Linked DNA regions of Drosophila melanogaster. The protein of the gene in region 2 interacts with the protein of the main gene of each other region in a biochemical or structural test. Each region holds a gene or a part of one and is shown on either strand. Other genes may lie near its edges.

Region 1 (5,023 bases), on a different chromosome or scaffold from region 2:
AGAGCAAAATTAATCGAATAATATTCGATTTGATTCAGCGAAGGGATGAGCTGGAGTCCCTAAATTCTAGTAGTTTTGATTATTTAATGGGTGTGATGGCCAATGGAGATTTGAGTGGTAATTCAAAGGCCCCAAGTCTAAAATTGATGGTCGATAAGTCTTTGAATGTTCTTACTAAATATAAACAAGGATATCTACTCATAGTGGAGCAATTTATACCATCGGGTATTGACAAAAGAGAGCAGTTGCAGCTTTTGAATGATACTTTGGTTAATCTTCACAAAGATCAGGATACTTTAACTCTTGTTTTAATGACCAATGCCATTTATCCAAAACCAAGCCTGGATGTCAGCGAAGAAACCGAGACAATCAGCCTTCTTCCGGAGATATTTAATGAGGCGGAATCTGAGATCCAAAAACGACTGCACCAAATGCCATCTGAAAGCTTACTTTTTGCACAGGGTGAGTAACCTATTCTACGGTATCCTAGTTATATTTATTAATTTTATTTATTAATAACTATTTCAAGGCCCCAAGTCCTCAATTTTTCAAGGTGTTCGAAAAGAAACCTTTCTGGCACATGCAATATCCCATGTCCTTAGCAGAAGTAGAGTTCGACCTTAGAATACTATTCACATGTATATGTAATAAAAATGTTTAGGTAAAATGAAATGTGTTTAAATAAAATTTCTTTAGCTGTCAGCCCGAATAAAAGACGTCCTTATAATTTGATTGATTTATTAAACTTTAACTAGAGATCGTTGATTCAATGCTGCTAATAGTTGTTAAGTCACATGATAACATTTCCGCCGGACTCTGCAGTCGTCGCCGTGGCAGTTGCAGTTGCACTTCCCGTTGCAGTTGCACCTGCGGTCGACGGAGCCACCCAATTAAAGGCGTGGCCAACGGAGGACACTCCTGCGGCAGTTGCCGCTTGCCTTGTTGCTGTTGCTGCCGCTGGAGGTCCCGTTGCCGTCGCTGTTGCCGCAATGCGTGGCACCGGCCGCAGGACATTCGTATTCGGATTGGGTCATTTGACGGGCAGAGGAGGCATCAAAGTTTGGGCCACATTGGACAGTTGCCTCAGGTGATTGGCCTGCACGTATTGGAAGGCCGAGGATCGTTCCAAGTGCTGCGATAGGTAAAATTCCCCAAGAGAGTAGAATCGACGCTGATCGAATGACTGAAAGGGAAATCCCGGAAAGCGTTGTCCACCCGGATAGTTCTTACCACTTGGCGGCGGGTACATGGGCATGCCAGGCGGTGGGCGTGGCAAGGATGCATAGGGAGCGGCAGATGTGACCGCCTGTCCAGTTGTATGCTGCAGCTGGACATGATCGGCCAATTGGTGGCCATTGATGGTCAACTGCTGCTGCTGGGACTTGAAGAAATCCAGATTCTTGAGATTATCCAACATCTGATGGGAGGCCTGGTGTTTCTTTAGGTAAGCTTGACTGTTGTTTGTGGAAAATAAATATAAACATTTCAAATTAACTGCTTAAAAATATTTAAAATTTCAACTTTTTTAAATACCAAATAACTAATTAAATTGTATAGTTTTTTTCCGAAAGTCTTACTAACTCACCGTCGAAAAGTCTTTCCGCATATATGGCAAGGATAAATGCCATCGCTGGCATCATCGCCGCTCCTAGTCGCCTCCTGTACCAGATCGCCCGTTTCCACAACTCGTTTCTTGGCGGGATTAACTCCAGCCGCCTCCGCTTTGGGCTTGTGCCATCTGCGATGGGAGGCCAAGTTGGCCGGGCAATTAAAGACCTGCAAAGGAAAAAGTGTTTTAGTTGCCTGGAAAGCGAATCCTTCCTTCGGACCACAAACCTTTTCGCACTCGGAGCACTTGTACTCGATGTGAACGATGCGGGGACAACGGTGCTGGGCCAACATAAAGGCATCATCGTAGACAGTGCGACAGAGCTGGCACATGTAGTCTCCAATCTTGTTGTCAATGCTGGCCAGGATGGCCTTGGCCTCCTCGGTGATTTCGACCACGTTAAAAGCCGGATCAATGTCGCCTTTGCGCACCACCAGCTCCTCGTCGTCGCGCAATTTGCGAATGATGGTGCCAGAAACTGGACTTATGGTCTCCTCATCGATGGCCATGTGTTTTCGTAGCTTCGACCTCCTACGTTCCGCCTTGTGGGGTCGAGATATGGGTGGAGGCGGAAGTGGAGGTGTAGCAGGGATTGTAGAAGTCGCTGGAGGCGGAGGAGGTGGAGGAGGCGGTGGAAGGTTGTCGGAACTGGTAGTCCTAATCTCCGCCGTTGCCACGCCACTCAGATCCGTGTATGTCTTCCCGCTGTTGCTCTGGAGTTCCGCCAAACCGGAAACCTCCACATCTGGCTCTGGAAAATCCCGGTCAAAGAGTCTGGCCAAACCATTTACCGCCTGGTTGTGCAGCTCCTCATCCTCATACAGAAGTTCATTGCGTTTCAGGGCCGTGGTCTCTATTAGTTGGGCCTGCAATCTTGTGGCCACCAGGTCCGTCGCCTCATCCTCGTCATCGTCACTGCCCAGGACATCGACAAACACCTCTTCCTCATCATCGTCGCCATTAACGCTGACTTGTACCTGCTGCGTCTCATCGTCGCCCTCGTTGACTTCCTCCGTGTCCGTGGCGTACTCATTGTAGTCATGGGAACTGACAACTGTTTCATCCTCGTCCTCGGTCAGCACAATGGTCTCATCTTCCACGTAGATGGGCGAGCTGACGCTCGATTGACCCGCCGGAATTTGCTCAAAGTTATTTTTCGTCCCGTGAAAATGACTTTTATTAAAGGAAGCGCCCTCCAAGCTGCTGCGTGTGGCATATGGCTGATGATGTTGCTGGTGTGGTAGTTGATGTTGCTGCTGCTGATGATGATGAAAGTAGCCCGGCTGCATTGCCAGGCTCGACGGAACAACTGGAGCTGGAGCTGCAGGACTCGCCATGTGCGGACGCCACAGGTAATTCTCCTCGGACATTAATCTCTGGCGCTTGCGAGGCGGCGAGGGCGTTGAGGGTGGAGTAATTGGCACTACACTGGCCGCGGCGCGCAATGAAAGATCCAAGGGGGAGAGCAGCGAAATAGCCGGACGATGCTGGCCAAATTGCGGAAATGTCTCGTTGATTGCTGGTAATGCCCGACACTCGACGAAGTGAGTGGTGTCTGGGTGGCCCTGGAGCAGGGCGGGCAGTGGCTGATGCTGGCCAAGATGCTGCACCGACTGGAGATGGGACTGCGGTTGTGGGTGTGGATGAGGATGTGGGTGATGGTGCGGGTGCGGGTGCGTCGGCGGATTCATGTTCATCATTTTTCTCCCCTTTTCTATTGCGTTGTAACGTCAACTTTCTGGTATTTCATTTGAAGTCAGTAATCACTCCTATTCTTGCACAATAAAGTGTCAAGTGTTATAGTATTGGGCTTTGGGCTTTGAAGTTAACTTAAATAAAGTTTCTCAAATAAATAGTAAATCCAATATATATATATAAATATATATATAAAATGGGTATTTAATTATAAAATTAAATTTTTAATAAAACATCAACTATTCTAAAAATGTACCTTTTGCTTCATCTAACACTTGATATGTTTGATTACTTAATGCACTTTGATAATTTATTTTTTAACTATCGTCGTATTTATTGTGTTTTTAAGTGTAGCACTTCACATCATTTTTTGTTGGCTTGCTCTTGTTTCAAATATTCAATGTGTATTTTGCACAATTTCAAAAATTTCGTTAGATATTCAACTTTAATCGGGAATCACTGAAAACTGTTTGGTTAGCCCAAGGTCTATGCAGTTAACTTAAGGGTTTTCCGTGACACGCAACTGACCCGCGGCAGGCTTCAAAGAGAACTGAACGGCGGACGGTCACCTGTCGCAATGCTGCTAGCTGAAATTGGGTTTGAATGCGAAGCCAATGAAAGGCAGTAACCACCACCCAGCCACCCAACCACCCTCTCTCATCCACTGGACACCCGCATTATTGAACGGGATGTGGATGTACGGCTCTCGCTCGCACCTTGCGGCGGAATCCTGAGCGGCCTGCTCTGGGATTCGCCGGGCGGATGACATAGCTCGACCATCCCACCCCCGATTCACCCACGCGCACGGTAGGCGCATGCGCAGCCACGCCCCCTGATGCAGGCCCACGAGGGGGCGCTGCATAAATGTATCATCTGTTGCTCCACTGGGGGCACGCTTATTGGCAGCGTCCTGCAACTTGCCACGCCCCGTCCAAAGCCCAGAATGGAATGTCATTGAATTGTAGATGAAGAATTTCATTGCACTACGTTGGAGTTTAAGCCACCCATTCCACATGACTTTTGTGGGTGGCTAGCTGTGGGGTGTGGAGTGGTGTAAATGGTGTTTGTGCTTGGGGCGTTGACAGGTGAGTGCACCTTTTGTTCCCAGACCCATGTACCTTCCATCGGCCAGAGTTCTGTTCTTTTACTCCCCCTGGCATCATCATCATGGTCAGCGTTGTTCAGACATTTTAAGAACCAAAGGATTCTTTTTGTGGTTTTGAAAATTTAATGCAGCTCCCCTCTGGCGATTCAAGTGAATTTTCAAAATGGCGTCAGCTTTTGGCCAAAAAATTAGGTAAATCAATGGAATTAAGCCAGGGCTTCAAACACGTAAAATTTTATACAGCATGCTAAGAACGTTCTTTTAGTTTTCTATATAAATTGTAAATGTCTTTAAAATAATATAATAGTGAGACTTAAGATAAATTTTAATAAATATTCCATTTTATAAAAATTATAACATAACGTGATTTATACTGGCAAATCGATAGTAAAAGTCTGACACTCGAGTTATCTTTCGATATCCAGACCTGCCTTTAATTGCAGCTGAATGCAATTAATTAAAGAAACGGTCTACAAAAATCTAATTAAATTGTTGCGTCGCGACGCCATCGGAAAACAGGCTCGTGCGCTGCAGCAGAGTCAAAAACAATTCCGACTAATAAACTGAAATTAAATTACGAACTTTTATACTCCGTCGCACAACCGAACGAACAA
Region 2 (5,193 bases):
TTAAACTATGCAGCAAGATATTTCCACTTTAACTGAATACTTTTGTACATTTAATTTTTAATACGATGGGAAACACATTAATATACATATGTGCCTTGTTTATATGGACCTAACTGAATTTAATTATCTTGATTTTTATGCTTATCACTCCTGATTGCACTTATTGTGTGGATTTTTATTGAATTCTCCGTAGCGCCTTTACTTTGGTGGCATTATGGGCGAACGCACTCACAGAAAAAGAAATCGCACATAAAATTTTGTTATGACACGCCAACCACTCCAATTGTTTCACGTTAAAGCCGCATAAAAGTAATACATAAGTAAGGAAGTCGGAGAAGTAACAAAACAAAAAAAAAAAAGAGATAATTTCTTTGAGGCGGGATACTCACATGAGCAACAAATGCAGTTCATTGTCGGATCCTTCGTTTCCTTGGCTTTTTCTGTTGGCGTTTCCCAGTTTTTCCCACGGCGACTGCTGTGTCGTTTACATATCGTTTTTTGGCCCTCATCTCCTTTTTCTGGGCCACGTCGCGCTGTCTAAACGATTTACGACACTTTGGCCAACTGCCTCACGCACACATTTGCAATATTGTTTGTTTGTAAGTTTGTGTGGGTTGTGCGCGGGCGAGTGTCTGTGATATTAGCATGTAACGAACACACACACACACACACACAGATGCAGGAACAGGAGTTAACTTGGCCAAAAGGCAACACAAAATGCCGCACACGTTCGTTTTTATTATGTTAAATGTCTCCTGGGGCAGGAACATCAGCATCTGCGAGTTGTTTCCATCTGTTCGGTGGCTTTCTGCCTTTTAGCTTTCCTCCCTTCCTTTTGTCTTCTGACTTTTGGTAACTGTCACTTGGCTTGTTACATTTCACATTCACTTAGACTGCAGGATTAAATCTGGAGCGCGCCAAAAATCTAGCTAGCCAGGAAAATTAGCACAGGCCGTTTCTCGCCTTTTCCTGCTCGGCACTGCGCTGGTTCGCCCTTCTGCGAAATATCCTGCCAGCTCGTCCTTTCAGCCGATTTCAGCTTACTGCCCGCCGCTCCAGTTGAAACTGACGACTGGCGAACGACGGTCAAAGTCAATGGCGGGCTTTTCGTGGACGCGATTCGCTTTTCACCTTCGTCGACGGGCTCGGCGCCTAAAAGCCGAACCTTTCCGATTCACCCACGTCGAAAGCTCGTTTAGCCATCTCACCAGGCTCTCTTCGAGCAAGTCCTTGCTGAGAAGGATTGAGTTGCCTTAATCGCAGATTTGCTTCTCTTTGGTTTCATGTTCTAAGCCTCGCAGGTCTCGAATCTCGAAATTGAGTGAGTCTGTTTTGTTGCCTTTGAGCATTTAAAATGCGTTTACATTTCTCATATAAGCCTGTACTCTTTGCGTCTGCAATTCGAGTCCTTTTTAGTTGAGCTATAAATGTTATTACCCAGCAAGCACTTCACTCTAAGAGAAACATTGCTGGTTTTGCTATAAAAGCACTCAGTGATTATCTCAATGTTAAATAAATTAGCTCGAATCGAGCGAGCAGTGTAAACTGGATTTACCATTCCCATACATTTATAAGAATTAAATAATAATTTTTATAATGCTAAAGAAAATCCCAATTTTATATTAAATATAAAATATTTTTTGAAACTCATGCTAAAAATGATGTTTCGTAATTCCTCTCAGTTTATTTTACATTTTTTTCAAATTTATTTTATGTTATTTTATCAAATATTCCTTGCACTCAACTGTTCCATAACATTTTAAACTGAGTGATTTTTGAATGCTATTTAGAATCACTCCGATTTGTGTGCTCTTAACATTTCCCAGAATGGTTTGTCTATTCGATTGAGTTCTGAGTACAAAGTGAGTTCCTTTTGAGTAGCCATCCTTTGGTGTTTCTCTTCCATCGCTCGCAGCTTCGGCTGGCGAATTTCTCGGCTTTTCCGCTCTCCGGAAAAATCCACCACACTCGGCGCTCGGTCGGCGCATCCTCGGGCACGCTGAAGGACTCTTCGGGTCGAGTGGCGACTCACAAACGCACACACTGAACGCGAGGAAAACACGAGCATTGCTGCTAGCAGCCTTAGCCAATCGTAAAAGTTTTGTACGTATTTAGTACAATTTCGGGATTTGGCAGGATGTAACGAGCGTGTAAGAAACAGAGCGCGTCCTTCTCAGCCGTGTGTGTGCGATAATCGGGCAACAAGCAGCGCGACAGCAAATTGTATATTACACAAAATTCGCAAAAAATCCAACGAATCGTTTGAATCCAATTTCGAGTGATATAACATAACCACAGATCGTACTCGGTTATAATGCAATAGCAAAGAGCCGCAGCATTTCGAAAATCCGGCAAAGTGATTTTAGCCAAGTTAACCAAAAACCAAATCGTCGAACTCCTCGGCTTGCCTCGGTTCAACCCCCTTCAACCCTTTCTCCATTAACTCGTTGTTGCCGCTGTACTCGTACATATGTGTGCACTTGTTTTTGTGAACGTGTTTTGCCGCAAGCCGGTTAAAAAATTATTCCCATAATTACACCATCCGAGTTGCAGGCGAGGAACTTCCGCGAAACATAATTACCGAAGAACAACTGACGTAGCCGATAATACCTGGCGGATAAATCGGTAAAATCTAAAGAGAAAACAAACTCTGAAAATTATCAGAAGCCTGGTGTGTGGTGTGTGCGTGTGACCTGGAATTTCCTTATGAATATCGATATATATATGGACTTTATCCTTATCGTCCTGGCCCTGCTAATAAGAAACGGCAATCCTGTGCCGCTGCTCGAGATGGAGATTGAAACGATTGCCCCGGGGAGAAGGGGATTCCTTCGGTCTCCCCATCCTTTCTTCCGTAATAGTGTCGTTTCCTTTATTTGTCCTTTTATGTTTACCTACTTTTTCTTTTTGTGCTCCGTCGTTTCGTCGTGGTTTGGTTTGGTTTGGTTTAGTTTGCTCGCACACAATTGAAAATTCAATTGATTTACAAAATGAAGTTTACTGGTTGGGACGACAGATACTTTTTATCTATTTTCATTTGCAGTTTTACGAGCGAGCAGCTCTTTTTTCGGCCCGCTCCTTTTGGCCTCAAAGCGAAACGGTTGGCAATTTTTCACAGTTCTTTTTCGATTGAGGTCCTGGCGGGGTTTCCTGCAGTTTGGTGCGAAAATAACGCTGCGTCCTGCAAGGATTGTTGTGGCTGATGTTTTCGCTGCCTTCCGATTCGGGTGTGCCGAGAGTGTGTGTTTGTGATTGGAGCGGCCTAAAATCGTTTTAGGACCAGCTGCGAAGTGATTTTCAGCTAAGGCGAAAAAAGGACTGCAGTGTGTGTCCTGTGTGAGTGTGGGTCTGCAGATTGACATAGTTATGTCCTCGGCAAGTAATGGGAAGTTCTTGGCAAGAGCTCAAGAAAATTTAAGTTTGGCCTGGCCTTGCAAAGCTAAATAAGATTCTATATATATAGGTTGTTTTAAAGCCAAAATGTTTACTAATGCTTAAAGCTGTTCTCAAAATGAAGCATTTTTCAATTGACATTATCTGCTATTCAATATTTTCAAGCGAGTTCCTTATTCAGAGCCTTCTGCTCAATTCTCTAGTATAAAATATTATTTTTGAGTAAATTCTCAATAAAACTTATAAAAGTAAATATTCTGAAAAAAAGCCTTTCCAAGTGTTTTGACAAGTATTTAATATTTTCGTTGTAGAAACTCGTACAACACAACTCAACCTAAAATGTCTTTCACCACTTGCCTCAAGGAACTTTCCTCGTTTTTGGTGTCAAGTGTTTTTATTAGAAGCAGAAGCAGAAAGGAGAAAAATTGCCGACGAAGGGGCGAAGTAAAAATTTTTCCTTTCATTCCTTTTTCGATCCAAACTTGAAATGAGGTTTGAAACAAAAACGTTTTTTCTGCGCCAGTGTAAAATAATACGCATACGCCATGTATAACGAATACCCAAAGTAGGCTTCACAAGTGGTAAGGGCTACTTTCTTTGGCAGAAACAGAATCGAAAATCGTAGGATATGGTTGTTAAAAACTATAGGCTATTCTATGGCTTACATTAGCCTAATTGAAATTATATCGCTTGATACATCGTTCGCAGGGCTTGGGGTTAATTAGGTGCTGACCAAGTTGAAATTACTATGTAACTTGTTTATTATATTAACATGTGGTTGCTCCTATTGAATGAAAACAGTAGCTAGATATATATATATATATAGATGGATGGATTGATATTGATAAATGAGAGGGGGCTTAATTTGCTCTTTGCATTTCACAGCGACTCGAACTATCCCCACTCCCATTAGCCCTATGGGCCTCAGTTGGAGCCAAAGCAAAAGGACTAGTACTTCAATGGGCACCCCCCCCCCCCCCACCTTCCATTCTCACTGTTCAAACAGCGTTTTACCATTCGTTCGTCATGCCATCGTTGGCTATATAAAGGCGGCTGATCGGCCACGCCCACTCTTCTTTTTCGCCGCTTGTTGTTGACGTTTACAATTTGGTGTTGAAAACTTCAGCTGGAAATTGGGTAATACTCGTGATGATGGCGTTGGTTGGATGACTGCAGCAATCCTGCATTAAGTACCCTCCTGTGTCTGGATGTCGGTGTGTGTGTGTGTGTGAACGCGAAGGGGTTTGCAACAAAGAAATTTTAATTTATATAGAATGAGTTTGGGGGCGGCAATACCTCCATTTTCCACCACCTCTCTCTCTCCTTTTTTTCGGCTGCAGTCGTCGACATTCCGATGTTCGTGTTCTGTGCTCACAGTGCTCTCACTCACTCACTCGTTCGCACATGGAGACCGAAAAAAATCCAATTATTTTAAAACTTTTGACAACTGCAACAACAAGGCGTTGCAAGGCTATGAAAACAATAAGAAACTGACTGAACAGCCAGAGGCAACAAAAACAATATATGTGTATGTATGTATGTAGGGGAAAGTCGAAAGTCCGCAAAAAATCAAGCAGAAAAATGAGTGTGAGTGCTCGAAAGGGTTGCCAGCCATTATAACTTCACTTGAAAAGTTTAATTGATTTTTACAAGTGCATACATATACATACATACATACATATATATATATATATACGGAGATGGACGCAAAAACATGCATACGTACATATGCCACGGACCTACCTGCAGTCGTGATTCTCGTGATTTCGCTTTCTCCGTGTTGGCCAAGTGGGTCTATAA

The links.
Region 1: the proteins of Lar (region 2) and nerfin-2 form a complex in vitro, tested with the Drosophila melanogaster proteins (one study listed by BioGRID).

Annotation. Positions count from the first base shown.
Region 1 is NT_033777.3:10,069,461-10,074,483, reverse strand, and holds nerfin-2 (nervous fingers 2), read right to left. Parts: upstream 3,368-5,023; 5' UTR 3,310-3,367; coding exon 1,837-3,309; intron 1,777-1,836; coding exon 1,586-1,776; intron 1,455-1,585; coding exon 1,031-1,454; coding exon of another isoform or gene 791-1,030; 3' UTR 723-790; downstream 1-722. Other genes in the region: Alp13 (alkaline phosphatase 13), read left to right, coding at 1-462, 530-624.
Region 2 is NT_033779.5:19,604,457-19,609,649, forward strand, and holds the start of Lar (Leukocyte-antigen-related-like), read left to right. Parts: upstream 1-2,112; 5' UTR 2,113-2,625; intron 2,626-5,193. UniProt on the Drosophila melanogaster protein: Possible cell adhesion receptor. It possesses an intrinsic protein tyrosine phosphatase activity (PTPase). It controls motor axon guidance. In the developing eye, has a role in normal axonal targeting of the R7 photoreceptor, where it negatively regulates bdl.